Linked DNA regions of Styela clava. The protein of the gene in region 1 purifies or fractionates together with the protein of each later gene. This does not show direct contact. Links are inferred from orthologs where the notes say so. Each region holds a gene or a part of one and is shown in the gene's direction. Other genes may lie near its edges.

Region 1 (8,038 bases):
ATCGGACCGCAGCATCTCAGCTGTTCTAGCGGTGTGCTCACGACAAACTACGTCGACATCGCACCTAGAAAACCTGGCTGGAGGTAGGTGAGCCAAGATCTCTTCCTGCTGCACCGAATCGTGCCGCTCTTTAATGATATTCATGACTGGGTGACAGTGATTCAGCATATGAGGAAGAGTCTCGTTTGCATACCCACACTTGCTACAAGTCACCCGTGGTTCCGCATATGCCGTAAACCGTCTACGAACGGATCGCAGCGGCAGAAGATTTAATCGAGCTTTCAAAAACCACGAACACTGATACTGGGCGAGAGAGACAGACGTGAAGAGCAACTTAATTTATGTGACTAAATACAAAAACAGCAGTTATCATTCCATTTGGACTACAATACAACCCTAACCTGTATCCCTACGTTATATTACAACCCTAGTATAAACCTCTTACTTTTAAACCCAATTAATAACTTCGATCCGAATCGTTTATCCTAACCGCAGATAGTAAACCCAATATTAAACACGATAAACAACTCCTAGCGCAATAGATTACACTGAATACAAGACAGAAGGTGCCAACCAGGGCTGCCACTTTTGCCTGACTAAAAACATCTAGATTGACCTCGAAAAACATCTAGTAACATCCCGATTGAAAAATAAAACATCTAGAAAATACATCTAGATATCAAATCCTTGAGTTTAATGCAAAGTAACCATAATACAGTAATATTAGATGTCGAAGAAGCTAACATCCTAACCTAGAACTCAATTCCCACCTGCAGAACTTACAAAATACCTTATTCTTATCATCTGAAGGGGCAAACCATTCCTTAATTAAGCCAATCTTTTTTAAATTTTTGCTGGTAGTGTATACACTTTGGCATTTTGAAAGGTTGATGTTTAAAGAGAGACACATTCAATAGCCCTAGTTAGCAATAGTTTCTATTTAACGTTAATTAAAACGTCACATGTTTTGAACATGTTAAATTCGTTATTCAAATATTTTGAGTACATATGGCTGTATGGTACCAGTGGACGAATACAATATGAGTGAGTTTTATCAATCTTAGTCAATACTTATAAATAATGAAACAATATTCATTCACCTATTACAGTATTATTTACATCTCTTTATTTATTTCCCACTGAAGAATATTTATAACCTTGAAAAAAATATCTAGAAATTATAGCTAACATATAGGCTCCAAATTTCACATCTAGATTTCGAAAAAAAAAAAAAGTTGATCTAGATGTAAAACATCTAGGGTTTTATTTCAAATGGACACTAGACATAATAAATGAGTTGATACATACTGATATGGATGGGCAATGAAGATTTACTCCAACACAGAGGAGCACTCTGCACGTGGTTTAAAGAAAAGTGTAGCTTACGTTCGGATGTACATCTTTCATATTTGGTGTATCTTGAAAGCATGGATGAAGTGCTTCAGTCGCAATAAAAATCAGGAGCTAAATATAATTCAGATATCAGAGTACTGTTGTAAAGCAAAATCTTTTTTCAAGCCTCATGTTTTGATAGACTCAGTAGCTGCAAATTCATAAACAACATAATTGAAAGTGTTATGACAAAAAAAAGAGATGCCTGAAATAATTGCCAGTAAAATGATTAGATCCGAAAATGACATTTTGGAATATTTTAGGGGTGCTGTGTTAAAAATGTTGGAAAAAATTTAAATATTGCGGTCATCCAGAAGATGTCTGCTACCACTTTTAGAGGATGGAATTTAGTTTGCTCATGTGTCCATCTACAGAATACCTGTATTCATTAAGCATACCTCAATTGAATTTTAAAAGAATGAATATCCCAATAAAATTCAGTTTTTGAGGTGCGAGTAAAAATCCCAATAAAGTTTAGTGCAATACAGCGGTGAGTAGTGACAGATGTTCTTCCTAGTCAATATTTCAAAAACTTCACATTGAAAATCGGTCTTGTGAAGAATTGTCAGATGATATCGAATAAGTGATATCATATAGATTTTCGTGTATTATGGATTCAAAATAACTTTTATTAAAGTGTAAGTACGATACGGTTCTCAACCTTTTTTAGTGTCAGAGCTTGTAATTGGCCTTGAATTTTAACTCTGACGTCTGGGAAAACCGCACTCGTGATGGATGTAGCAATAAATATTACAATAGCTAGATTGATATTTATATCATGACATCTATTTCAGTCCGAAACATTTTTCTTTCCAATCACATTGAAACGCCCGATTATATTTATAAAGCGTTGCGAGCCTTTTTAAAGGTTTGCTTGACAAAATAAGAATTAAATATTTTGTTCGAAAATACCTAATATTAGCACAGTGTGCGCAATAACCTTCTTGTGATTAATGGAAACAATCTGAAACGTAGACTGGACATTGGGGGGTATTATGACATCATAATGAGTCGTTCCTTATATTTTCGAGCAACGTCTGGGCAAAGTATGAATCAATGTGTAATCCTTTGTCATTGAATGATTTCCAATATTTACGGTACCTTATATACAACCTTCCAAACAATTTTATATTCTAATTTTCACACCCAGAGATAACATAGGAGTAACTTTGAACGTATATCACCCAAGACATTTCGGGGAGTCAACAACCGTATTTGATAAAGGAGATTTTCAAACTAACTAAACGAACAAAGCCACATTTGTCGTGGTTTGAAACACACCTATCGAAACCTGCAAAAATGATCGGATTACCTAAAAAGTCCTCCTCACTATCGGCCCTACATAATTTCCAGATAAACGTGCTATTACAGTTTTCCAGGTTAGGATCGTGTCGGCCGTTGATTGGTCGTGGGACGTGATGGCGAGTGGCGACGTTTTGAATTTGGAGTTAGGTTTTCCAAATTTAGGGACACTCGATTCGGGCTACACACATCTTTCAATTGTCTCAAATTTTAAGTTGTTTTACTGTTTTATTATCAATTCTTATATCAATTTTACCGTTGTTTTAATTGAAGAATAATACCACACAATAGCAGTACTAAACAATCAAAGATTCACTCGTTTTACATTGTAGACAATAAAGCGGCCGTCAAAGAAGCCTCGTCTCGCAAAGAACCGTAGGTGAAATACCTGCGTACTGTACAACTTTTCTGTGATTTAGTTTCTGCGTCCACATTACAAATAATGTGTGTTCTTTCAGCTTAGATTCAATTAATTTCAGCTGCAATATTCCCTAATTCCCCAAATCCCGCATTTGCTGAGTAAAAATCCGGAAACGTTGGTTCCAGAAATTTCAAATAGACAATCCCGAAGTGTGGAGTGGACTTTTGAACTTAGCTTTCTGTGCAGTGAAACTGACGTTACTTTGTGGTATGCAAGACAAGGTAGGGTCGGATTTACATATTTATGCTCGGGGAGAGGAAAGCCGATAATGCGTATCAACCATACGGCGAACCACGGCCTCTCGTCCGGTTACCAGTCCATGTTGGGTATGGGATTAGTTAGCTAGATATTTGTTTTCAGATACATGGACTTGATGACGGAGGAAGCCGTGTACCACCATACGGCGTAGAGGATTCCAGCAATCCTATCACACATAATTTACTCCTCCTGATATTCGAACCTACGAACCAAGGTAATCAAAAAATATTCATTTGTCGATACATTCACTTGTCCGTTCTCAATCCCTTCTTGATCATTGCGTTTTTTCTTTGAATGCTGGAACTAAAAGTTACTATTGCATGTGCTTTCATACATTTGCCATAGTGCCAAAATCATAAATCCGGTATACAAAAGTACTTAGTTAAATTTAACGAAGAGAGGATAGGATTTACATATTTATCCCGGGGGAGAGGAAAGCCGATAAGATGGCTTATCAATATGGCGAACCACGGACTCTCGTCCGGTTACCATTCCAAGTCGGGTATGGGATTAGGTATATTGTTTGTTTTCGGAAGCATGGACTTGGACTCTCGTCCGGTTACCATTCCAAGTCGGGTATGGGATTAGGTATATTGTTTGTTTTCGGAAGCATGGACTTGGTGGTGGAGGAAGCCGTAACCGACCAGCGGTTACGTGAACCACCCAACGGCGGCGAGGAGTCCAGCAATCCTCTCGCACATAAACATCTCTGCATGGGATTCGAACCTGCGAACCCACGCAGAGTAATTAGAGGTGCGGAGGCGAGCGTATTCCTAATGATTAGCCCGTTGAGCCACACCGCCGCGCCGGCGACTTGGATGTTATTTGAATTAGTAATCTTACCATTGGATTCATCCCATATAAACTTGTTATTTAGCATTGATCGCATTATGCAATTTTTTTAAATCCTATCTCGCGACCGCATAAAAAGCTTTCGCAAGCAGTGTGCGCCCGCCAGCCCTACGTTATGTAGCCTATAATAGCCTGCGCCTACCGTATCCTGATTTCATAATCGGTTTTTATTTATTTGTTCCAAACAATCACTTTATTGCCTTATTTTGCTGATTAGGAGGTTGAAATAAACTTATACTTCACTGCATTTAAAAACTTCATATTTTATATACTTTTCTATTAGTTTATAATTTGGCTCGTCATTTAGTGGTGCATCGAGTCATATGCGAATTTTTCTATAACTAAAATATTTTGATTCCATTTAGTACGATATCCACACTACTATTAAAATAGCATAAAAGTTGATAAAAGAATATTTATATATAATTTAATTCTTAATTTCTCAAAGATCTTGATTATAACAACCCTTTTGTAATTACACATCTCGAATCCGGTACCGGTATACGCTCCTGCACATTATGCCTTTGTTCTGATTTGCGATTTCCCAAATCCCAATGGCTTATGTGGTTCTGCCATCTTTCTAAAATCCTAGTCCATTTTTACAAATTTCAAGTTTTTTGTTGCTTTTGTGGTTTGTCTTCAGGGCGTTCCAGCGTTAGATAATCAGCTTTTGTAAGTGTCATGGCGGATAATATGGATGAAGATGATTTGGTTGTACCGTACAAAAAACTAAGAAAAGAGAAGGCCGGAATTGAGGGTGAAGATTTTGGAATTCAACCCAATTTAAGTGAGTTTATTTTAAAAGTTTTTATGGTACCGGTATATTGTGTACCGTACAGCCATATAGTCTACAGAACTCGAATGAACTGGATGAGGATATTCTGACAAGTCCAGAAGTCCTGTTGTTTCTAGCCATCACCCTCTAAATTCTAAAACAAAAGTCGCAATCGCTTGTTTCTCTATTAATTTGTTACACAACTGATTATGTTAGTCTGTGACTGCTAGGCTAAAACCTCCTCGAATATTTATCAAAATTCCAAGCACATTAATACCGTCAGACCGTATTTACTTTGACTTCATGTTAACATCATGGTTAAGATGACATTGCTGGGCTAATTTTCACTGTAGATTATTTACTTGTCATGTATATTCCTGTATTCTGTACCGTAATTTACAAAAATACAATGCATTATTTCAAAGTGTCTAGTGATGTCATTTCTGTATTATAATACTGATAATATGTCCAAGTCCAGAGGTCGTAATGAAAAAAATCATAATATGAGTCTAATTTTCAATGCATATCTGCGTATGACATCATTTATGTAGTCTTGATGCGGCAGATTCAAAGATTGATAGTCGTAGCCCTGAAATACCAAGTCACAGATCAACTACAAACACGTCGATTCAGTTGGTTGGCTTTGGGTGAGCTTATAATGTTAACCCTCGGACATAGAAAAGGTATTAGAAATGCATCAAGTGGGGAAAATTTCACTCTATCAATGCTTTATGTTTATATCAATTTGTTTTTTTCTCGTATTTACAGGTTCTCATTTCTCCAATGGGCTTGGTGATTCAAAGTATAAAAGTGGAGAATCAGCACCAGGACGTCATCTACGTTTTCATTCCGTTGAACAAGATGATGTCCAGAGTAGTTCAGGCAATAGTAGTAATATAGAAAATGAAAATCCCAATGATGAAGATAGCGGCAACATAAGTGATTCATCATCTCATGCAAGCTCTGGGGATTGGCAAAGAAGACCAGCTGGTTTGTAGCGGAGTTTTATTCAAAATTACGCTTTTTCAGGGTTCATTTTATTAATTTCAAATACCTTTCCCTCTTATTCTTAAGTAGTGAATAATTTGGTAATGATGCTTTTTTTTATTACAAAGCTGTATCCAATTCGAGTTAAAAGAATTTCGATTCAGATTCCAAGTTTTCAACATTATTTTATTCAAATGCCTGAGCCTTATTTCGATTAAAAAACTTGACTCGACTACAGACTGACTAGTCTCAAGACTCCAATGGCTTGTGATCCACGGTTTAGGGACTACCCGACAATTATTATTAAACACATTCATGCGATCCACTCTGCAGCGCCGTAATATTGTATCATAAAAAGTTTAAAAAAAGTGATATTATTCGTTCCTTTGACAAGGTATCTTTCTTCACAGGTATGATTGGATGGGTTCATGCACAGATGTTGTCAGGCGTCGATCCTAGAGAAATTCTTCACCATCTTGTACCAAGTTTATCCAGTAGTTTACCTGTAGACATCAATCCATTTACGTTATGGAAACTTGTGAGTTTTTTTTTACCTTTTAACCCTAACAAAGCTGTCTTACAACCCATACGCTGGTGAAAAATCTTATTGCTCAAACATAGTTATATTTATGAAATTGATGCTGGCATTTTAAAACAAAATTTGTTTTGAAAAGTCTCTTTGCCATTGGAAACATGCAACTGCATCTTTTTTAATACAACATTGTTGAAGGGCCGCCACACTCTAATTCTAAAATGAAAGAATTGGTATTTGACTCGACTTGGCACCGACCTAACGTGTATTGCCATAGCCTCGGGACTCTGTTGTCGTTATCTCCTAAATGAAGATGAACCATCCAACCAACCAAAGCGTCGTACGGCTGTACCATAAAAATAAGCAACCACTATAATTCGAGGTGGCACCTGGCCAACTTTGCATGCTTGGTGATGATCGTGATGCAGACACTATTCGAGGATTGATATGAGATCGCAATTTAAATTCAGAAGGTCCACGTTAAATCACAATCATATTCAGGCTATCAAAATCTTTGCTCTTTTGGTTGTCTTTTTCAAACTTATACTTTTTTTGCTATTTCAGGTTTTAAACATTCTGAGTGAGCCACAGAGACGACCAAAGTTATCCCACATCAATTCATTGTCTGATGTTGTCAATCTGATAAAAAATGCAAAAAATATATTAGTACTAACTGGAGCAGGGGTGAGTGATGTTCTATCATCAGAAAATGTAAATCTTCAATAAGGCAAAGTGAGAACTGAAGGGACATGATATATATACGTAAATGACTTCATCGAAAAAAATTGTCACCATCAAGGTTTATCAGAAAGCCGCCCGTCTTTAGTCTGGCCATCGATTATATGGTGGCCATTCGGTGCCCTCATTATAAGTTTATATCTGCCCTAAAGTACAGAAATGAGAGGGAAGACAAGCCGTGAAGCGAAACATCTCTTTGTTTGACATGAATATTTATCTCGGAGCAGCTAGACGCCATATTTACAGATATTATAGCTTAGTTCTGGTTAGTTCATAGCTCATTTATAACTGAGTTTAATTGAACTCAGAAAATTCTTCCCTCTGTCTGTTGTCACTAATTTAAATCTATGTTTGCAAGGTTTCAGTATCATGTGGAATTCCAGATTTTCGTTCCCGCGATGGAATATACGCTAGACTTGCAGTTGATTTTCCTGACCTACCAGACCCACAGGTTTGACTTATACTGTGTAAAAGTTTTCATGAGCAAATTGCATGACATCATAAATAATATTTTCTTTGTTTCTAGGCGATGTTTGATATATCATATTTCACACAAGATCCTCGACCATTTTTTAAATTTGCAAAGGAAATATATCCAGGACAATTCAAACCTAGCAGAAGTCACAGGTAGTTTTCAAACTTTTAAATTTTAAGAATGATAGATCATAGATGATAGTACTTTTTAGTGTTGGGGCAGTGCACTCAAGTCATGATTTGTACTTGTAACCACCAGTACTCGACTTAACTTCGAACACTCGGACGAACTGTGACTCAAAAACCC
Region 2 (8,147 bases), on another chromosome or scaffold:
GTTAATCTTTGTGAACGCTTCGGTGTACGAAGTTTCAAACGGAATTCCCGAATGTAGATCCGGTTTGTAGCTTCGCTTTTCAGTGTCACAGTAATGGCACTCTTAGACGTTTCCATCTCCATACCTGTAGATTAAAAAAAACTCTTGCCGCAAAGGTTAGGATTCAAGTCCCTTTGCGACCTTCAAACAGCCCCTCGATTTGATCGCAGAACTTTCTTGTCCGCGAGTTGTTTCTGAAGAAGACCATCATCTCTGCGAATTCCACGTCTTTGTCGGTCTTTAGGAAGAGCGTCCGAGGTCGAGATGCTGCGGCAGGAGACGAAGACGCGACGGCGGCGTAACTCATCTTCTTTGTCTTGTCTTTCGTTTTTTTAGTGAATCTTTTCGCTGTTGAGGGCCTAAACTAGTGAAGGGTTGCCTTAATGAAACAGCGACACCAACATTTCAAGAAGATTCCGATCTGAAGATGACAACTTGGGAAATGATGTATGGCAAGTATGGCAAAGGAATTAGACACTGTAAACTTTTAGATAACTCTTGCAAGTTTGGAGATTTGTTTTTGACATACCATTTCTGGCTTTTGGAAAACTATAAATAAAACTTTCAACATTTATCTGATTAGACCCACACGTGGAAAAATTTTGCTGCCAATGGTTTGCTATAAAACTATTACTGTAGAACAAATCAATGCTCATTTTCAACATACACTATAGTTTTATTTACATATGTAACAAATATTTTGTGCCAAATGTTAGACACACATTAACTCTTTATACTAATTGTATCATTTCAATCAATACAATATATAACCAGCATACGTGACAACAACATTAGAATCCGATCTGACATAGATCATGGGTCAATTTCAACGGGAAAGCAACCCCCATCATATTCTACAAATAACTTCACAGAACTTCAATCAAGAACGCGCATATAATTTTGATATATACTTTAATTAACATTTGTGTTGAATTTCTGAATTTATTGAAAAAAAAATATATGTAGTGTTTGCAAATCGTGACGTATTTGCTTTAGTCCGGCAGCTCCAAAACTGTACTCATCTCGTTGGTTTGGACATGTATTCGAGGGCGCTAAGTGGTCTCCGAGACCACTTTGACTTTTCCGAATCGAACCGCTTCGCTGGACTAGTTTTAATGGACATGTAATCAGGCCTAATGACAACTTGGAAATCATGTAATGCCAAAGTATACCAAAAGTTCTCTTCACAGGTCTACTGTGTGTTCATCAATTCGGGAAGTGCGCCAACCGCCCTGTTGAAATTGATATTACTATTTTCCTTGAAATCTTTGCGTCATTCAAATTTTACTTGTCGTTTGAGAATTCTTTTCACCGTAGAAACTACATAACCGAAAAAACTTACTTTAACAAACTCGTTGGCGGCATTGTTACTATAATACACGGCACAACAAAAGGAGCTGCTTCCGAAATTTCGCCAAAAGTTTTTTTCATACGCGTGGGGGATTTTAAAAATTTAACCAAACTTGCCGAATATTTAAATGAAAAACGATCCATAACGTTGCACCAAGATTGACAATAGAACAGTGTGCTTATAAAACCACGCCATTTTTTCTAATATCCATTGACTTCGATTGGATTCGTAAATGTGTTTAGATTTATTAGTTTGTCACGTGGACATTGTTTAAAAGTAGATGAAGTGAGTTTTGCGTGAAACATAGTATAAAGTATACTATGTATGTAAAACTAAAGTAGAAAATGCTAAATTAGGTCTTTATCAGCACGGCACGAACTTTATAATATATACGTTTATAATATACCGTATTTCTCGGTGTATAATACGCAGGGCTCTTTTAGGATGGATTGTATGAAAATATCAAGGTTCATGCATATTACGCATGATCGAATTCAGTCACTCACTTCGGTCACTTGCGTCGACCGCATTTGGTATTTTCGGGAAGCCAGCCTAGCAAGTTTCACTGTGATTTAATAATATGTTTCAAGTGTTTATGACATTGACAGGTCTGTGTCTGTCAATCTCGGAGTGCTGTTACCCAGATTTGAATTATCGTGCTGTTACCTATCTTAGAGAATTTTGAAAATGGTTGGGGAAAAAAGATTTGTGTGCGTTAGGTTTGCCCGTTTGCCGATCGGTCAAAACGAGAGAAATGAAACAAGCCGCAATTCAGAGTGAGAAAAAATGATTTAGGAACATTCAATTTTGCCGATACGGTAAAACAGAAATGAGGGATGCCAGACTGGAGGACAACAACAATCAAACTATCGATTTGAAGTGACGTTCTTATCACTTATATACACTGGTTATTGAAATAGATGCGTTGTCCTTTGTTAGACAAGATAGTCCATTCTATGGGTGTGATTCTACTGCAACAAGCATGATCTGGTTATTACGGACTTTGTCACATAAAATTAATAGAAATAAGACGGAAAGAAAACATGTGTATTTTGCAATTGCATGTAAAATATCGATCATGATTTTTTGAAAATTTTCTATAGGCTACCAATGTATAATACGCACCCCCTAATTTTGAAGATGAAATCTGAGATCAGAAGTGCGTATTATACACGGAGAAATACGGGTATATTGTTGTGTGGGATCGAATCCCATCCTCATCGCCAATGTTCCCTCTAATTTTTTGTAGTATGTGTGCGCAGAAATTTTGGTGTGTGCGCACTTTTTTGGAAAGGACTAATATTTGTGCAAAAACCAATGAAGAAATTTTGGCGTTCTAACCGGATAATAAGTGGGCCAACAACTACTTTTTCAACCTGCCAACCGAAAACATTGTTACATCACATCGAAATACGTCTGTGCGCAGTAAATCTATGCGTGTGCGCAGCCTCTGAAAATTATTTTCAAGTAATTTAAATATTAGGCACAATACGCAATCTCTCATTCACTGATGATAAACTGCTACGTATACATCCGTACATAGGAATAATTATTTAGGGGAACCTTTGGTTGGGTGGACGTATTGTGGAATTCGATAAGGAATCTAGCTTTCTTGTCATATAGATATCTACAATGGAATATGATATTCATGTGGGTTTTAGGATATTAGAATAGGATTTCATATGTTTTTATTGAACACCCATAGTAATAAATACATGCATGTCATTGTAAAATTCTTTGTTCAAGTCTACTGAAAAATGTACAGACATTCCGTATGTACCTCATTCCGCTGTAATAGAAAGTGTGATTATGGAGATTTTTTGCAGGCGGAATTTCTGACGTCTTTTTTCCGAATTTTTTCGAAAAGATGTTAGCTTCCCGTTACATTTCGTTTATTAACTTATTATATAAATACCAGTCCTATTTCTCTTAGCGAAATTATGAAGACAAGACAATAAAAATGTAATTTTTGCGCGTAAAATTTGTAATTTGTTGGATTGGAACTTAAAGTAGCAATGAACAAGAGAGTTTTCGAGAAGATTGGAGGGTTGCTGTATTGGCGGTGCTACAAGTGTTGTGCTGGAAAAGTGTTTATTTGTCTTTCAATGTCATTTAAAATTAAGCAACATATATTCTAAAGTATTGTATTAACTTACGATCAAGGTTTCATCTGTAAAATTCGATTTCCACGCAATCAAATTCCAGGATTTTTTTTTAAATTTGGAGTTTGGCAAAAATGTTTTTATTAAACCGGAATCGGGCGAAACTTCAACAAATGTTTCTTTCATATTCGATTGATAAAAATTTGTAAACGATTATTCATTAGTTTTAGTGAAAAGCATTTATGTAAACAACAACAGTAACAAACAGGAGTGAAAATTCAAATATACTAACCCTGAAATCTAATCTGAAATACTTCTCTATGCACAATGTAGGCGCTAGTAAGCTGAATGCATGACCCGCTCATTGTTTAAAAAATGCCTTCACGGATTGGCCGACGAACAAAACTTTTGAATTCCAAGTCGGCCAGTGCCTCTCTGTCTGTACTTCGGCATTTTGCCTATGCTTTTGTTATAATGTGAAATATTGCAACAGGCCAGTACGGTACCGGTATGACGGTAGTGATTTGTCGTATATTTTATGAAAGTGTACCGCAAAATTAGTAATTAATCTGTCGCTCTGTTGCTTGTCGTTTTAATCGCGTCACCGTAAGTCTAACGTTAGTTAGAATGTGTAAATATTTTATTCCAGCACATTTACTACTACGGTACCTACCGGTACCGTACTTACTTTTTCTATTACAGTACTTTTATTCCAGTACTAGCCTATTTATTGGCTTATGTTTATGATACTGTAATAAGAGCTGAATAGTGTCGAATTTGTTTTTGTGGGAATGAATCTCTCTACGTAAGTTACGATACTGGTACCGTACCTAATATTAACATTACTACATTTTTATAGACAGATATAACGTTAGTTTACGAATGAGATTCAAAATTAATGCAGAAATACCGCATTTATTGGATTTAAGAATTTTGATAATTGAATTTCTGTAATCTAAAATTGATATTTCTCTGTAAAATTTGTTGTTTTGCATGTTTTAGCTGGGAATAGCCATATTTAATTGTGTTGACTTACTGCAGTACTGACTTGAAATTTACTCCGATTTCAATAATAGCCCTAATATTAAGACATTAATTTTAACATTGAGTGCAAACCTTCCTTTTATGAAACTGTCTGGGCCTTTATATCGGCACTTTACAATTATAGAAATAAATAAAAGTAAATGCAATCTAATCTGATTTACCGACAGACCGAAGGAAAAAAGTTTTACCACAGCTTTCATGAGTTTTTAGCAAAAATTCGCAATTATTACAGAGACGATCTCGCATGATCTGACACATCTGTTGTCGTTCCAGACGCCCTTGTTTCAAAAACAAATACTGTGTTGCTTTTATTAAATCAAATGGCGATACATTTGGGTACTGTGCCCCACTGTACTGTATTACAGTATTACGTTATTATTTAACATACTGAAATATTGAACATTGTAGTATCCTGCTTATGGTCATCTGTAATACTGGGATATTGGTTCATGCTCATGATTAATATGGTTTACAGTGTTAAATGGCTATTAAAAGTTGACAGGATACCGCCATGACATTTCTGTCATTTTTCTTCTTTTCACAGTAACGGGTAATAATTTGCAAATTTATATTGGTTATTTACAGTTGAATAGGTGTTAAAAATTTAGGATGGTTAAAATTGCTTTGTACTGTTAGACAATTGCTGATTCTGACAAATGATGGACGCCAGTCTGCACAATTTTTGAAAATTGATATAAATTGACGATTTACAGCCAAGTACATCCAAAATGGCTGAATTTTCAGATCATAGTTTGAAACTTTCGGCAACAGCAAGTTCTGAAATAAGTGCTATGAACTTTATGAAGTCACCCAATCATTCTTCAGTTGAGCCTAGAGTTTGCCTGGTTGATAGCGCTGCAAACAATAGCGAACTTATTCAGGCTTTAAATAATATAAATATACCATTTGTCGCATCTAAAGATGGTTCTGAATACATTGACTTGGAAGATGATCAATATGAAACTATATTTGTACTTGAAGAGTTCGACAGCGAGTATTTCCACAATTTAAAACATTCTGTTCATAGGGTCTTGGGATCGCCGGTCATAATGCATGTTGCTCTTACAAACGAACCTTTGCCGTATACATACAGACCCCAATATTGTAGCTGTATGCAAGGATTAAATCTTTGCTTCACCAATTTCAAAACTAAAGAACATTTAACACGGCTTGTCACAACTTGTCATTACATGGGAGCTTGTATAAAGAAAGATATGAGTGCAAAAATTGATTTTCTCGTTACTAATGGCTTTCACGGACCAAAATACCGTACGGCTGTCAGCCTTGGCATACCAATAATGAGAGAAGATTGGGTTCATTTGTGTTGGAACGCAAGAAAAAGAACTGGAATTCATGCAACTCATGATGAATTTGTTTTTCCATGCAAAGCGAAACCTTTCGAAGGATGCGTTTTGAGTTTCTATGGATTCCCTGCTGAAGAATGTGAGCATATGAAAGAGCAAGCATTGCAACAAGGAGCAAAAACAGCAGACATCGGGGATTCATCATGTACACATGTAATCGTTGATGAAAATAACGTTACGAGTCTTTCATTTGAACCGAAAGGAAAACTCTTTGTTGTTGTTCAAGAATGGTTCTGGGGCAGTATACAGATTGAAGCCAGAGCTGCTGAATCAATTTACATATTCGAAATGCCCGAAACAAAACAAACAATGACAAGAAGTTCTACATGTTCATCATTACTAGGTACACCACATAAATATAGAAAATCAAGTTGCGAATCTGGAGTTTCACGAGCCTCATCCTCGTCGAAATATTCCTTCAGTAGAAAAAGATCAAGAATGAAGGAAGAGACTTTGGCTAAATTAGCAATGGATTCTGATACGGACTGCGGATCTCAACCTGCATCAAAACGAAAATCTACTGATATGACTACGTGTATGAACGAATCATTAATGCTTGACATTTCAAATAATATAAAAACAAGGAGTTCACCCCGTCAATCTGATTCGATGAAAGATTCATCAAATAACGCTGTAAAAAAGGCTGTGTCTGCCCGTTTTCAAGTTGCGATGGAGTTTTTACAAACCGAGAAAAATTATGTTGGAATATTAAATACAATTATAAACGTCTTCAAAAAGCCACTTGAAGATTTAAGACAAGCTGGCGGACCTATACTTCCTGGCGAAAATATTAAAGTAATATTTGGATCGTTACCTGAAATACATCAAGTACACACGAGAATGGCAGCCGATTTGTCAAACGTTATGGAGACATGGGGTGACTCATCCTGCGTTGGATGTATCGTCGATAAATATGCTAAAGAATTTGTGCGTTGTTATCCCCCTTTTGTAAATTTCTTTGAGATGAGTAAAGAGATGATTGACTCGTGTGAATCTACAATGCCCCGATTTCATGCATTTTTGAAAATTAACCAAGCTAAGAAAGAATGTGGAAGGCAAACTCTTGCTGAATTACTTATCAACCCAGTACAACGTTTACCCAGAATACTTTTACTTTTACAAGATATTAAAAAGCACACAGAAAGGGAAAATAAAAATCACCCAGATGTGTTGGGAATTCAAACGGCACTGGATGCAGTTAAAGAGGTAATGACCCATATCAACGAAGATAAAAGAAAAACGGAATCGCAAAAACAAATTTTTGATATTGTTTATGAAGTTGAAGGATGTCCACCCACAATTGTTTCTTCACATAGGCAGTTCGTAACTCGCTCAGAATTGATCTCAGTTGACGATAATTTAACGAGTAAAGGAGATCATGTTTGTCTATTTCTGTTTACTGACTGTGTTGAGATAGCCAAAAGAAAACACGGCGCAAAGACACAAAGTTTTAAAAGTCCGAAAGTTCACACAGGAATTCAATCGGCTGCGCGCTCTCTCAAACATATCAGACTCTTGTCACTTTCCCACATCAAAAAAGTTGTCAATATAAAAAATTCTGATGATTGCCAAAGTGCTTTTTCATTGTTCTGTCGTACGCCAACAGATACTCAAGATTGGTTGTATACTTTCAAAGTTGTGACATGTTCAAGTACATGTGGTGGCCAAGTTGACGAAAAGGACCAGGAACCTAATGCAACTTTAACGGGAGATGAAGGAAAAAATAGACTGCTACAGCTCATTTCTAGACATCGTGCTAATACTGTTTGCAAAACCAGTGATGACAATTTTATTCACACTCTGTCCTCTCAAGATTTAGATATTAGCACTACAGATATTGGTTCCACTTTTGGAAGGGCTTTCCGAGCTGCTAAAAAATCACATAGGAAATTGACGCGTGCTTTTTCATTCAGTCGGACTCCACGAAATACGGTACAAAGAGCCGTTTCAACTATGATGAGCCCAAGTATGAAAGCAGTAGCATCAAACAATCACATAACACCTGGATTAGGTGCAACACCTTCCCGTGCATGGCCCGCATCCAAATTATTTGAAGACGAAAATGGCGATGGTTCCGACTACCATACTGGATCTTCAACTTCTGGTTTGACGCCTGGAATGAGCATCAACAGTCTTTGTACGCCTAAACGTCACACTAGATTGTCGAGTTCTTCAAGTTATCAAGCTGAAAATGAGGAGAATATATTCACAGGATCGCAGTCAATGATGAAACCTTCAATGAGTATG
Region 3 (7,541 bases), on another chromosome or scaffold:
TAGATAGTTCATTAGTCCAATGCATTTTTTTGTTTGTTCGTTTTTTTCGATGAAAACTTCACATATTTGTACAATACATGACATACGTATATATATATTGATATTCGAAAATAGTTTCGAAGGAACTTTTCCATAATCACGCGTATACACGTGGTTCTCCTCTTCTACCACGATTTCATACAATTCAAAAAATATGAGGTTTTCTTGACAAAGTTTGGATTTGTAAAGGAAAAAACTTGATGATAAAAGTAGGCTCGTGGGTGTGACGCGTCGTTTCAAATCGTTAGGAATGCGCCTTTTGGTACGCGAATGTTTTTTCTTTTTATTATTGTATTGAATCCCTTTTCTTTTTCAATGTAAAATATATTCCCATTCACTAAACATTTTTCATGATATATCGATTATTGCTTTTAATTTATAAGTAATCCACGAAAATCTTCTACACTTTTATTTTCATTTACATTGTAGGATTCTCCCTCGCCCTCGTCCTTGGTTCGTGAATAGTCAGTCCTTCTAATTGTATTAATTCTCTTCTCTTCCGTAAACGTAAAATATATTTCCCTTCGCCAGGCATTTCTCGTGATATATCGTGTGCTGCAGGGGTCTCCAACACACGGCCCACAAGGACCCCAGCATTCAACACATTTAAATACATTCAGATTTCTTTTTGTATTTTTCGTATATTAATTTTATACCGAGGTTATGACCCGCGTCGTCAATAAAGTTCAAAAAGTGACCCATGACATTTTTTAAGTTGGAGACCCCTGGTGTACTAAGTAGTATGCATGTGAAGTAGATTATACGTAAAATTTTATAATCCCTCACACGAATTTGAATATGAAAGAAATTCGAAAAAACAAATACAAATAGATTTTTGTTGATGTTGCAGGGTTCCCTTTGTCCTCGTGGTTTCTTGGGGATCTTTCTTTTTAATCTATGCAGTCTCTCTTCTTTTTCAATGCAAAATATATTTTCTTACACCAAGCCTTTCTCATGAAATATAGTGAACCGAGACCGTTGGCATGTGAGGTGGATTGTACGTACATTTATTTTATTTCACTACACAACATGAATGAATGAAAATAAAATCTTGATTCTCTCGTGTCGTCTTGCTATATGAATAACTTTCCCCCCTTAATGTTTGGAGTATCAATTGTTTGTCAATGTATATATGTTGCTATTGAGCAAGCATTTTTCATCTTATACTATAATCGATGAGCTAGAGCAAGATTAAAAAAGTGAAAAACGAATAAAAATGTTTACTTTATATTCAGTACAAAGAAATTACATTGCTTGATAGCAGACCAGTAACTATCGTACATTTGTGTTGATTTCTAACAAGCTTTTACATGAACTATGAATGAACATCGCTCGTTTTGGAAAATATTCGTTAGTTTAATATTTTCGATGCCGACGGGACAACTTTGGTCAGAAATCCGGTCAGATTTCAAATATTTAATTCCAGTCGTCACCCGTTTGCGATATCTTCACGCACGGATGTTGGACATATAGACCGTATTAGCGACTCGTTGTGCAGTGTTCCCATTAGTTTTCAAAACAAATTTTCCTTATTTCTGATAATGATGGGCCGTCAAATTATTCATTTTATTACTATTTCTTCGTTATTTGAACGATGACATGAGAGAACAGTAATCAACAAAATACCAAACGAAAGTACAAAGCATTTACATGAATACCAGTTTTTATTTTCAATCTGCCAGTTTTTATTTCAAAACTTTCACAAAAATACACTTCAAGCAATAAGTGAGTGATACAACCAGGTGGTGCTATAAAGGTATGGTTTATTGGGACCAAGGACGTTATTCATATGATCCAATGATCTTACTACTTCTGCAAAATCAACATATGCGAATAACTGAAGTCTGTCAAATTATTAACAAGTGAAACCGGAATGCATTCATCTGCACGTTCACTGACACGGTGATGAGAAAACAGCATTGTTCAAAATATAGGAGATTCCCGTGTCTTCAGTGATGTGACTTTGAGTTTCCCAGTTCCTGAACAATATACCGGATTAAGAAAAAGAAATCAATGCCTATTCGTGTATCTCAGAGGTGCACTAAAATGATCGCAATGAAAATGTACAAAAAATTACAGCGAGCCGTGTAAAATATTGTACAAGAAAAGTGTTTTATCCAGGGCTATCGTATTGTTTGATCGTCTTAATCAAAAAATTTTCGATAATCGTCTAGTGATCAACAAACATTTACTACATCAGTTTCTGTAATCAGAATTTCATACTACTGGACATGTTCAAATATTCCTAAAATATTGATGAATCGCAATATAAATTTGTATATCGATAGACGACAAAATCGATTTTGCAACAATCTTTGTTAAAAATTCATCCTCACCATCTAAACTGCAGCAAACATGAGAGGTTGAGCGAGATGTTTTGAGTTGACAACTATCGAGAAACTTTACAACTCCGGGGAATTTTTTGCCATGACGATTGATGAAGTACACCTTAATTGAATGTTTTATATTATAACAATTGTGGACACGCACCTTGAATCAAATACCATATAGTATTAAAATCGACAACTTTCATCCAAATATTTAGTCTAAAAATAGCACTGTGTAGTGTGTACAATCGAAAATATTTGGTTTCTATTAACAAACTTAAAGCGTCTTTTATGTATTGAACTAGGTTCATGTCTAAGCCGTGAATACTTGACACCTATGGAAAGTTTCTACAAAAAGCAGTAGATGTTTTCAATGCGCAAAGCTAAAACCTCCTGGATTTTTGACTAACGAAAAAGTTGTATCCATCTTGTGACTTGTGATACCATGATACCCTCTCCGGCGCAAATAAAATTTGATTACACAAAGCAAACTATCATTACCTCGATTCCTACTTTCATTTCTCCATACGTCTAATAAGTCTTTTTTGTAACTTGTCTTATTACATTAGCATTTTCATCTTGTTGTTTTCAGTAGTTGCTGAATTTGTGCTTTTGTCAGCGTTTAAAGTACCTGCACATTTCGGTTTCGCATTGCTAAGGGCGCTCAACATTGCATCAACTTTCGATGCTGCAGACGTCGATGCTGAGAGTCCTTGAACTAAAACACATCGAAGGCGGTAAAACAACGAACGCGTTGTGTTTTGAGAATGAGAATTATTGTTTGAGAATTGTTTCTTCTGGTACAAAAAGCATATTCTGCGGCCCAGCTTTTGGTCGGTTAGGAAATTAAATTAACTTATAGAATGTCAATATCTTTTACTAGAAGATGGTTGCGCATGTTTTGAAGCCTGCATGCTTTCTGACTGTAATAATCGTACCTGTTTGAAGCTTGGCTTATTGTGTTGTTTTAGTGACTGGTTTCGCGACACCTTTCCTTAAAGTTGTACCTATGTCAACTGTATTTTTCGTCGCGACTTCTTTTTCCCGGTTCTTTAGCATTGCTAATAATCCGTTGATGACATAATTGTTCGGAAGAGCTTCTACCCCGTGTTGCGGTAAAACAGTACTCTTGCGACAAAGAGCACATTCCACCTCGGTCACACCTTTAGTCTTCTTGCTTCTAGTTGGAGCCATCCTGAAACGGAGTTCACTTTTATTGTAATGAAAGACAAAAACGTCGGTTTCTTACTTATTGGTTGCCGCTTGTACAGAGATTCACTCGGAAGTGAAGTGTGGGACAGCCTCATAAAAAACATTTCATTCAAAATACCTCATTTGTTTGTACATCTGACACCCCGTGGTGAGTGCGTTCAAAACGATGTACATCAATCACATACCTTCCAAGCACTTTGCGCAGTAAGAATGTTGACAGGACAGCACTTTCGGGTTTGAATAGGCTCAAAGGCAGATTGAACACGTCAACAGGCTTTCTGATATTTCGCTTACAAACTGCTTCCTCAAACAGCGGTAGCCATATTAAATTTAACAGAAGAAACAGAACGACCACCGCCAAACGAAAGCTAGAAGTGGTACGCTGCTCCAGATCAAAATAACCATACAGAAACAATTATGTTATAAAAAGCGTGGTGTAATTATTATTCTTAAATTGGATTGCCTCCAATCTTTTATTATTGCCCGCGTTCAGTTGCGGACTAACTGTCAAACCAGTATTATTTTTCTGGTTGATCATTCAAATTCCCTGAAATACTAATGTTACGCTGCTACAATTAATCAAAATTACATAACTAGTTTTCTATATGAAAAATTGAGGCATACGGGGATTTTCCATACGCAGCGGATGTGTTAGATTCTTGGAAGCTGCAACACATGGTCCCTTGAAGGTTGGTGAAAATTGGTAAATTTTCAAGAAAATTATTTACTTCTATATACTCAAATCTTTGTAGGAAGGAAGGTTAAACAAATTTGGAGTGCAAATGGACATTGAATTACTATTGCTCAATTGCATTTGAAGTATATATAAATCAAAATAGTACGCAACTGATGATACAGCTATATGGATATCTATGGAACGCTAATCTGACTCTGCTGTTATCCTCTCTCGCTTCAGCAATGCCAAGTGCGAGATGATGCGATAAGTCTATTTGATTGCAACGATTAATTCGTCTGAAATGCTTCATCTACAGAGTAAGTGTAGACAAAAGTTTATTAAAATATCTACAATATAAATCTAAACGAAAAAAAAGTTATTTTGCAGAAAACGAAATTATAGAAATATAAAAATAGAATTTATAGTTATTTTTCGATATATATATATATATCCTCCCTCCCCTTGTCTTCACTACACGCCTCAATCTGGAGCTTGACTGCACGAGGCATGTGTGTATTTTCCCCTGAATTTCATCCAAAACAAGTCATCAATCTGCGCTTTAAAAGCTTGACTGGCACACTGATATGCCCAAACTCGATAGACGATATTTCATTGAGCAAGCCTATGTTTACCCTCTTTTTACAAGAATCATTGCTATCTTCTTTACAGTGTATTATGCATACATATACCCTTATATAATTTTCTAAATAGTCTTTGTTGCAAGTGTTTTCATTGTTGCAAGTGTTTTCATTGTTGCAAGCTCATTAATTTCTCTCTATCTAATTATTATTTACCTAATTTTTCAAAATTGCCAGTGCCGTCAATTTCTCTCTATTTGTCTCTATTACTAATTTTATTGGACACGTGAGTGGACCTATGGATCGTTTTAATATTTTGTTGTTGTTCTTGTTCGTCTTCATCATGATAAAATCGCTTTTCTTTTCGAATACTGGACCAATTGCTTTAAAAATTTCATTCTTTTTATGCTTTCTCGAACGCTTTATCGAAACCGAAGTTGCATTGGTTTATTATGCAATTTTTCTTCCATCGCCATATTGCTGTTTGATAAGTGCGGCAGTAATGGCTCGGTGGCGTCTTCGCTTTTTCGGTTTCAATTCATCCAGTGATGAGCTGGAAAAATCGTAACAACCGGAACGCACCTAATTCGCAAAATCAACGACTAACATACGTAAAAATGTAATATATATATTTACAGCACGAGGCGGACGTTTACAGAAAGTTTTGTCTAGCCCTACCCCTAACCCTAACCCTAACCTAAGATAGAACCAAAATACTACAATGAAATATGAAGAAATTATTTGGACTACCGTGTTTCCCCGAAAAAAGGACTGGGTCTTATTTTCGAGGGATGTCTTATATTTTCATTTATCAAAAACAAAATTGTAAAGTAGAATATTACGAGATTTCCAAATATATATATATATATATATATATATATATATATACAAAATAATATGGAAACCGATATCCTTTTATTTATACATAACAGTTTTTATTCAAAATAACTGCAAAACATGGATTATTGATCATTTAAAACGCGTAGGAGAGGTTACTTGCTATCGACTAGGTAGAAAAAAATTCGCGTTATCGACTAGGTCCTATTTTAAGCGGATGTGTTATATTAAGATCATTTTCAAAATTCAGGCTAGGTCTTATTTTCGGGGGAATACGGTATGTCTGTGTAAAATTACAAGAATATTCATATCGATTCGATACAAATGTTATTATTAGAACGGTATGGGATGAATTTCAAAGGCCGGGGAAACATCTATTACTCGTTACTGATTATTTGCGTGATGTGGTGTAAAAAGAATTACGAACTATGATGTAACAAAACATAAATTGATAACTAGGTTTACCAGAGAAATTAGACTTTTTGTACCATAATTTTATTTTAACAACAGGAATGCAAATGCAATAAAATGTCCAACAAATGGAACGCCGTTCTGGTGCGTTCCGGCTACAGCTCACCATGAATTCATCGCGGAAGCGCTCTGTCAAATCTCACAAGATTTAGAAACCAAGGGATCACACGTGTGTTTTCTTTTCTGCTAGCTTTTCCTGCTTGATTAAGACCATCCATATAGAAGGTTAGGAATATTTCTTTGTTCAAACCAGAAAACAGCCAAGAACAGTATAATATTCCAGGGCTTCGCCTTGACATCCAGTAACATATGAACTTGTTGCGGCCCTACAGGTAGGTGGCCACGAGGAGCGCGACAAAAGCTTGGGCCGCGGAGATCTTTCCCAAGTGATACACAGTCGGATTTTGAGCCTGGTGCCGAATTACTAACGACTTTGTTAATATGTATATATTATTATTTTTGTTCCACTCATTTCAATGTTCGCGAGTACATTTTATTTAATTTTCCCGGTCCGCCAGGATAGGAAGGTTGGGACCACTGCCGTAGACCACCGTAACCCTACTGCTTTCACTGGTTTTCATGTCCGCATATTTGACCATAGATATCTTGTTTTTTGAATTTGTTATAAATAATCGAAATAAAATAGTTTTGGTGTATATTAGAATTTACATTCAACGAATGAAAGGTGTTCTATCGTGACCGTTCCTCGATGTGAAACTAAAAGTATATATACCTGCAAGCGTTTGAAAGTCGTGATGGGGGTGTCGTATACGAGGTTGCAATTTGAGTGACATACGAAATGCACGTATTGGGAACGAAATTCACGACTTCTTACAGCGAAGATACGCGATGATATCAATAAAACTACCATTACGCACAGATTATCATGTTCTATTTATAAAATAAGAGTCGGTTCACGCATCCATGCGTAAATGCCTCCGGTGGTTACGAAAGTCATTTGCTAAGTTTTCATTGCAATTTGTATCTTTTGTGGCATTTTTTAGTTAAAGCCATTCGAAAAAAAATTCTAGACAAGAACAATACAAAAATATGAATGGGAGCCAATTTTACTTATTGCCGCTGCAAGAATTATGGATTGGAATTCTCCACACAGTTTCTCGCTTTGAAAATGGCTTCGCACCCTGTTCTACCGTCTGACCGTTAAGTCATTCGTTATGCGTTACCGCCATTTTTTATGCACTTCTTTGGTACACTACAAATTAGGTAATGATTGATTAAATTGTTGAAAAGTTGGTCTAGACACCGTACAATATCGAACGAATTTCAGCAATGACCAATGGTACGGTAGGTACCGTATGATAAGAAAATTTTATTTCGACTCATCTTATACCGGTAGTCTTATAAACATATCGGCATATAGCCATAGTCCAGTAACCGTCT
Region 4 (7,745 bases), on another chromosome or scaffold:
CAAATCCGCTCATCAGACAGCGGACATCAGAAATTCTAACTGTGTATATTTACAAGTTAATGCAAATTAAGCCTCAAAAAAATTTGAAATTAATTTAGAGGTGCAGTCAAAACTTTGGTCATGAATAGCAGTGTGATAGGCAAATGTCGGCTGCCAACGACACAGAATCACCCGAATTTGTTATCGCAAAATTGGTCAGTCGAGTCGATTCCTAAATGTTTTGTGCTTCCTGCTTTGGATATGATCGTTGACATCTGAACGACCGCCATGACTAATAGAAAAACAGATCTGCAATGCGTACAGTGTACCTTTCCTCCTTCAGTTTGCTTCAAAAAAGGAAAATCTTTCTTCAACTCATCAGAAAACTTGTACTTTCTTTTTGGCATTTCGACAACCTAACGACATTGCAGTTAACGCCAGAAAACGCATTAAAACATATACCAATTGTGACATAACAATAGAGCGATTTCTCTCTCCGAACTAGCAAAGTGTGTCGCAAAACAGTGGTAAATGGGCTGTCACCGTTAAAAAGAAAATTGTGATAATAATGAACATAATTTTTTTACCCATGAAAGCCGTGCTGACAAACCGGGACATTTGATTCAACCGGCCGGGACGCCGGGACAGCTTGTCAAAACCGGGACTGTCCCGGCTAAACCGGGACGTATGGTAAGCCTATAATGAGAGATCATCTTGATGCTGCAACTGTTTCGAAAGGGACATCTAAGGATATCCAAAATGATTTGCTCGACTCAATGTATAAAATTTATTTACAACATTTGGCTCTGGAAATTGAGAATTGCCAGTTCCTTTCGATTCAGTCTGACGAGACAACTGACATCACGTGCGTTTCCCAACTGGCTGTGATTTTTCGGTTTGTGAAAGATGGTAAACCTACCGAGAGATTTCACAGCTTTGTACCAATCGTTGATCGCACGGCTTGCGGGATATCGGCTGTACTGAAAGAAGTGTTACAGCCTTACAACGCGAAGTCAAAATTGATAGCTCAAACTTATGACGGCGCGGCAGTCATGAGTGGGTCGAAACATGGTGTTCAAGTTTATATAAAAGAAGATTTTCCTCATGCGCATTTTTTACATTGTTATGCACCCCATTTTAACCTCGTTATTAAAAATATGTGTCTTGATACCCCTCTCGTCCGTATATTTTTTGCAAATGTTTCGGGGTTTTCTTCATTTTTTTCCGTTTCGCCGAAGCGCTCTGACCTCCTTCGCCAGATATGTAGCCGCCGTCTCCCAGCTTGTGCACCAACACGTTGGAACTTCCAATCACGCGTGGTGCAGGGCGTGTCCGAAATTAGGTCTGAGCTCATTGAGTGTTTCAATGGCATTCAGAGCTCTCCGGTTTGGGACGAACGCTCTGTGAGGGAGGCGGCAGGTCTAAAGCGTCTGCTAGAAGATGGTGAGTTTTCATTTTTTCTCGCTTTTTTCTTCACAATATTCTATCACGTGGATGTATTATACGGCGCATTGCAGCCAAGGCTAACAGATGGAGCGTCTGTGCAGTCGTGTATTTCAGACTTCTGCGATGCTGTATCTGGTATCCGAGAAACAATAAAATACGACGACACATGGAGTGCTTCTTTACGCCGCGGGCAAACAACGCAGCGTTTGATTGTGTCTGCAAAGGAATGCTGTGACATTCTGGTGAATCAAATAGGCGATCGTCTGCGCACTGAACACCTTGCCGCGTTCTCTTTGATGAACCCCAAAAATTTTTCAAAATTTGCACGTCAATTTCCCATCCATTTGTTGGCTACTGTCTCCAAATTTTACCCCATGATAAACGTGGGTAAATTGGAAAATGAATTGCGATGTATATACACCAATCAAACTTTTTTGAACATCACATCAACTTGCGCGCTCTATGGGTTCCTCATAGATAACACTCTAGTAACTACCTTTGCGGCGTCTGCAAAATTTCTGGACATCATTTTGACGACGCCTATTTCTTCCGCCGACGCAGAGCGAACATTCAGCACGCTGAAGCGTATTAAAACGTATCTCAGAAACACAATGAAGCAAGATAGATTAAATTCCTTGGCTGTTTTATCCATTCACAGAGACGTTATTTCTGGGATGCATGACTTTAATCAGCGCGTTATTGAGCATTTTGCTTCCAAGAAACCGCGGCGTGTTGCATATATGTTCAAGCAGTAGAAGTCTAGCAGCATATATATCTATGAGTGAGCGACGCATGTTCTTATCTTTGCATTACCTTTCCTTTCTTCATAGTAACGTTTTAAACCTTATTTTAGGTTTTGTCTGCTTTCCCGAAGTTTCTGTTAATATGTCATTGTATTTATCTGGGTAAATATTGCCTTTCCGTTTGAAAGAGGTTTCAAAATAAACTATGTCTATATTTATTGATCCCTTGATTTGGACCGGTTTTGAAGACACTTTCTTATCGTTAAAAATTGTCGCTTTTGCCGATTGGTTGTTACCGATGGAATGGTTTTTATACTCATAAAATGATGGGAGAACTTACAGCGCTCATCCTGTCCCCGTAGATGGGGGTGACTTGGTCCAGCAGTAGCTTGCCCCGGTTGTCAAAATGACCACGCGCCGCCACTAGTAGTGGTATATATTTACGGTCTGACCAAGGTCTGGCTGACCAATGACATTGGGCTGACTCAAACTGTAAGCGTGGATGACTTACATTATTTGGCTTTATATTATTCGATTCCGAACCTGCAACGAAACTGATTGTAGTGTTGAAACAATTCATCTTTACTGCTTGTTATGCAAAACTGTATGTGTTGGCTATGCGCATTGCAAAAGACACTTCGAGAAAAAACATGTGAGAAGAGCCGTCGTATATCAACATTATAAATGTCCGAGATTCAAACTAGATGATCTAAGACAGAACAATATTAACAACCACGGGTTCACATGGAAATCACGCAGTGATTACTAAAACTGAACGACGCCTGGGAGTATGCAACAGAGGATCTGTCGATTTTCAATAATGATTCCATGAAAAAAAATGATAAAATAAAACTAAATCTGAACGAGGCCTGTGTGAATACACCAGACCTGACGATCACCCAAAATTCAATATTGAATCCATGAATCAACATCAAACCCAAAATAGAGATCAAGATGTGCTATTGGAAAAATGACCACTTGTCCAGTATGCAGAAAGGAAATGTGCTCAAGAAGGAAATGTGTCTGGAATGAGTCACAGTTCGTTGGAAATCATATTACAGTTTTTCAATCCATAGTTCTTGTTATTGAAAAAAACTGTAAGCTTATTTTAATTGCATCGAGTGCAAAACTTAACAGTTATTTCAGCCAACTTTCTCATTTACACAAAGTCGCTTTGAAAATTGTAATAGATACCTAACAAATTAGTAGTTGACGTAGCCAATTTTGTAGTAACATAACAGACATAGCAAGCATCGCCATTTTGGTAGAGACATAACCATTTTAGAATGGACATACCTTCTTTGTGAGGACATAGCAATTTCAGTACGAACATAGCCATTTTCACAGAGACATGGCCATTTTGGAAGTGACATAGCTTTTTTGAAATGGATATAGCCATTTAAGTAGGGCCATTGCCACTTTAGTTGGGACATAGTGGGCATCGGCATTTTTGTAGGGACATACTCATTTCAGTCCATTTTACTAGAATCATAGCGGGATCATTTTAGTAAGGACATAGCCATATTAATAAGGATTTGGCGGACATAGCCATTTTAGCAAGGACATAGCGGAAATCGCTACTTTGGTAGGGATATAGCCATTTTGGAAGGAACATAGCGAAATCGTGAATTTAGTAAGGATATAGCCATTTTAGTATAAACACAGGAAACATAGCCATTTAGGGTGTACATAGCTATTTTAGCGGAGACATATTGTATATATAGGCTTTGGTGTACATAGCCTTTTTAGCGGGGGCATGTGATTTCTACCGTAGTTGGTGAAAGAGTAATTTGGTAATACATTTTTGGTTTGTTTCTATGATCACATAGGCTATATCTTTAAGAGTATTTTTTAAACAATAACAATAATATTTGATTAGTCGTTTTTTGTATAATCATGGACCTTTCCCCGAGCATCGACTTTCTTGTTTACTTCGTGACATTGGCCAATCAGCAAGATGCAACAAGTAACGTAACAATGCCCGCTTTTTACATCCGCCCAGACACTTTTCTCACTCAGACAGATTTTCAGACGTGGTTGTGAACATCACCTCGTTTTCGCGTTTTCGAACTATATTCGTTAGTTTTCAATTGTGTTTTGGAAATTTAAATGTAAATCGGATAATCCAACGATCACTATGTATTTTTAAAAGTTTTAATTTATTCGCAGTAATGAAGAATTGGTGTAGAAATAGCTGTGATAGACTAGTCTAAAATTTCTTACTGGTACTTTTAAAAAACTGTTCATTGTACGCGATGAATTATATATAATAAGGGTTTTAAACAAATACCCCATTTACAGGGGCCAACTCGCGGAACTACTCCTAAAATGAGCCCCGCAAATTTTGCAATGGTTAAGAATAGGAAGAATTTTTCTGGTGTCAAAGGTCAAGAAAAGGTCTTAAATTCTTTTTTAATGTCCGGTTAAATACTGTCACCAGGGACGCCATTGAGCAGAAAGGGGATGTTTGGTTCCCGGCGCGAAATTTCTGAGCAGTTTAACACAACTCTGCAACTAGGCTAGTTCTTTTAATGCCGTATTCATGTCTTCTCGGAATGAAGTCCGATTTCTTGCATTCACTGAAGAAGGGAGAGAGAATGTTGAAGCAGCTCACAAAGTAAGTCAATATCGGTACCGCATTTTTGCATTTTGGACAGGATATTATTCACATAACGGTATTTATCCCGGGGATAGGAAACCCGAAAACACAGAAACACGGCCTAAATATGTTTATAGTTCAGTAGTCTGGATAATGCTGACGTATTGCAGGAATAGGGTTTTTTCTGAAAAATACAGAAATATAAATTATAATTCTCAATTGAATGCGAGAGCAGCTCAATAAATACAGAAATATGACTTTTCACAGCTTGCTTCTGAGAATAAACTTAAGTGTACATGGGTGACTGTAGAAGAAGTGAATAACTTGGAAGATTCTAAGGACAGCAAGGAAGAAATTGTGTATGTTGCTGATCCAATTGAAGGTAGGCCTAAGCCTGTGTCTGTATTTTAAAATAGAAGAATATTTTTTGTTTTACCTGTGACTGTTTGGAAAAATATGTAGACTATGTTATTTCCAGATTTTTTAATGTGATTTCGTTTTACGTGTTCTACCTTCTCATTTAAATTTGGAATTTTCAAAATTTGAGGCAGTAAGATTTAGTTGCTCTGCTGATTCTGTAATCAGTTTTTATTTGTTTGTTTTCATCAATTGTTTTGTTTATTATGCTGATTATGAAGTCAAAATTAACTTATACTTATGATTCCTAGATACATGTAAAGAACAGTACGTCACAGTTTACTGATTCCAGAAAATCCAATTAAAAGACAACAATTATAACAGTGAAGGCAAACCCGACCTTTACGAGACGGTTTAAGTCTCCATATCGCAACATATCGACACACCGGTACTGTGCAATATTCTAATAGGAAGCGCAGTCTAGAAATAGCACCATCCTCAGAAAAAAATTTTAACAGAGCATTCGATCGGAAGATTTTAGCAAAAACGCATTTGCCGTTGTGCAAGACATCCTCGTTTTAGAAACAAATAGAGTTTTTATTTCATTGAATCAAATGTTGGCCAATCTTAAAAATCGGGAAACTGTGATCTACTGACTTATGTTATATAACAGTCTTATGTAGTTCATTTATTTCAGTAATTGATAAACAAATAATTAATTTGCTCCTTAAATTGAACAGACTTATTGAGGGCACAGTGACTTTGGTTCATTATATGATCAAGCCATAATTATTATCTTTCTTCTCTCTCTCAAGAAGAAAAGAATCCTTTAAATAACTGAATATTTTCCAGGTCCTGAAGTTGGAGATGTTATTGACCATCTTGTGAATCTTAACTATCCTGTACTTGGTCCACAATGTGCATTGACTGTTCTAAAACATGGAATCAGACTTCAAGATGATTTGAAATATCCTCTTTATACTCTCACATTGCTTAATACAACAATTTGTTTCTCAAATATTCAAAATGAAGAAAGAGTATGTGTATTATTATTTGTAGTGAAGATACTATCGTTAACTTTTAAATATAAACATCTATATTCGGACCAATTTACTGGGGAAAGGGGTTGTTTTTAAATTTACATTTGAGAAAAAAAAAATTGTATACATAATGCTATAATGACAGATTTTTTACCATCGATTTTATTAGTGATAATTCATTGTAATATTTAATCATTATGCCTTCAAAGGAATCTTCTTAGTTATTTATATACTAATCATATTGCTATAAATTACAGAAGTCAGTATGCAAAGAGAATCTGCTATAAGCATAATAGGTCATTATTTGTGGAGCTTTGCCTCTGCTTTATTTACATTTTTTGGTATTTTGTTAGTGATCCACTTTGATTTTAATTTATTATTATCACTTTTATTTGAATTTTCTGATATAAATCAAATCAAGTTTCAGTATTTATCACTAATATCACCAGTACATTCCTTACATAAAAAGTGATTGCCTTTATAATGCTTTTGTGTAGATAGAACTTGTGCATCTAGTTGAACTTATGGGTGGAAAAGTGTCACGACCATTGCATTGTGATGTCACTCATCTTGTTGTTGGTGAAGTCGGTTCTGTCAAATATTTTACTGCAGCTTCAATAAATATTAAAATTATGACAAAGGAATGGATATATCATTTATGGAAGCATGGAATGTCTAGGTATGACAGAATTCGATCAGTGATAACAAATATACGCCTGTGATGTCTGTATAATTTATATGAAATTGATGATACCGTGTTTCCCCGATAATTAGACCTCGCCTGAAAATAAGACCTAACCTGGATTTTAGAAAATATTTTAAGATAATCTCTCCCTTTTTAAATAAGACTTAGTGGATAGCGCGAAATTTTTTTGACCTAGTCTTATCATATTTTGTATATTTGAAAATCTTGTAAATATCTACTTTATAATTTTGTTTTTGATAAATGAAAATAAAAACATCTTTCCAAAAGAAGCCCTAGTGTTATTTTCAGAAGAAAATTGAAATACAACCCTGTTTTAGTTTCGGGGAAACACTGTATATATTTATAAGTTCTTATCCAAGAATCAAAATTTGAGATGAACACTTTTTTTATAGTATTTATTTACAAAATAGGTCCATGAATACGTCCAATGTACATGATAAAATTTGGAATGAAGAGTAACATCCTTTTCACACAATGTGTTTATTCACCTTTTTACTCTGACCTAGGCTCTGAACGATCACCCAAGCTATGTAAGGAGGTTCTATAGTTTGGCGGAACCGGAATATTTCTAATTCCTCATTGTCAGCTCAATTTGTGACACCTTGGGTAAGGTGGTGCGCACAGGACTTGAACCCAAGATTTTAACTTTAACCAAGCTTTGACTTTTATCACTACATAGGAATGCCAGTATTTGATTTTTTAAAGTATTATTTTTGACTTGATATAAGATTCTAATATTGTAATATTTGGATTTGTCCAGTTTCATCTGATTTAATTATTTTTATTTAAGCTTAATAAATATTTTTTGTTTTAGGTATATTTGTGCTAAAGATGGCAAATGGGAAGAATTTTTGTGCCCGATATTTCTTGGATGT

The links.
Region 2: the proteins of uncharacterized protein LOC120347059 (region 1) and protein ECT2-like purify together in Homo sapiens (affinity purification with mass spectrometry; 3 studies listed by BioGRID). This does not show direct contact. The link is inferred for Styela clava from reciprocal best matches to the Homo sapiens genes SIRT1 and ECT2.
Region 3: the proteins of uncharacterized protein LOC120347059 (region 1) and ATP-dependent DNA helicase Q4-like purify together in Homo sapiens (affinity purification with mass spectrometry; 3 studies listed by BioGRID). This does not show direct contact. The link is inferred for Styela clava from reciprocal best matches to the Homo sapiens genes SIRT1 and RECQL4.
Region 4: the proteins of uncharacterized protein LOC120347059 (region 1) and DNA topoisomerase 2-binding protein 1-like purify together in Homo sapiens (affinity purification with western blotting; 3 studies listed by BioGRID, with this or other methods). This does not show direct contact. The link is inferred for Styela clava from reciprocal best matches to the Homo sapiens genes SIRT1 and TOPBP1.

What each region holds. Positions count from the first base shown.
Region 1 is NC_135260.1:19,827,742-19,835,779, forward strand, and holds the start of uncharacterized protein LOC120347059, read left to right. Parts: upstream 1-4,776; 5' UTR 4,777-4,906; coding exon 4,907-5,012; intron 5,013-5,768; coding exon 5,769-5,990; intron 5,991-6,397; coding exon 6,398-6,525; intron 6,526-7,083; coding exon 7,084-7,203; intron 7,204-7,615; coding exon 7,616-7,708; intron 7,709-7,783; coding exon 7,784-7,884; intron 7,885-8,038. UniProt on the Homo sapiens protein: NAD-dependent protein deacetylase that links transcriptional regulation directly to intracellular energetics and participates in the coordination of several separated cellular functions such as cell cycle, response to DNA damage, metabolism, apoptosis and autophagy.
Region 2 is NC_135261.1:7,399,022-7,407,168, reverse strand, and holds the start of protein ECT2-like, read left to right. Parts: upstream 1-5,113; 5' UTR 5,114-5,264; coding exon 5,265-8,147. UniProt on the Homo sapiens protein: Guanine nucleotide exchange factor (GEF) that catalyzes the exchange of GDP for GTP. Promotes guanine nucleotide exchange on the Rho family members of small GTPases, like RHOA, RHOC, RAC1 and CDC42.
Region 3 is NC_135263.1:5,657,123-5,664,663, forward strand, and holds the start of ATP-dependent DNA helicase Q4-like, read left to right. Parts: upstream 1-4,362; 5' UTR 4,363-4,571; intron 4,572-5,851; exon of another isoform or gene 5,852-7,440; intron 7,441-7,541. UniProt on the Homo sapiens protein: An ATP-dependent DNA helicase which unwinds dsDNA with a 3'-overhang in a 3'-5' direction. Does not unwind more than 18 bp of dsDNA. May modulate chromosome segregation. The N-terminal domain (residues 1-54) binds DNA Y-shaped DNA better than ss- or dsDNA.
Region 4 is NC_135257.1:5,646,449-5,654,193, reverse strand, and holds the start of DNA topoisomerase 2-binding protein 1-like, read left to right. Parts: upstream 1-4,629; 5' UTR 4,630-4,710; coding exon 4,711-4,785; intron 4,786-5,034; coding exon 5,035-5,149; intron 5,150-5,976; coding exon 5,977-6,161; intron 6,162-6,661; coding exon 6,662-6,843; intron 6,844-7,684; coding exon 7,685-7,745. UniProt on the Homo sapiens protein: Scaffold protein that acts as a key protein-protein adapter in DNA replication and DNA repair. Composed of multiple BRCT domains, which specifically recognize and bind phosphorylated proteins, bringing proteins together into functional combinations.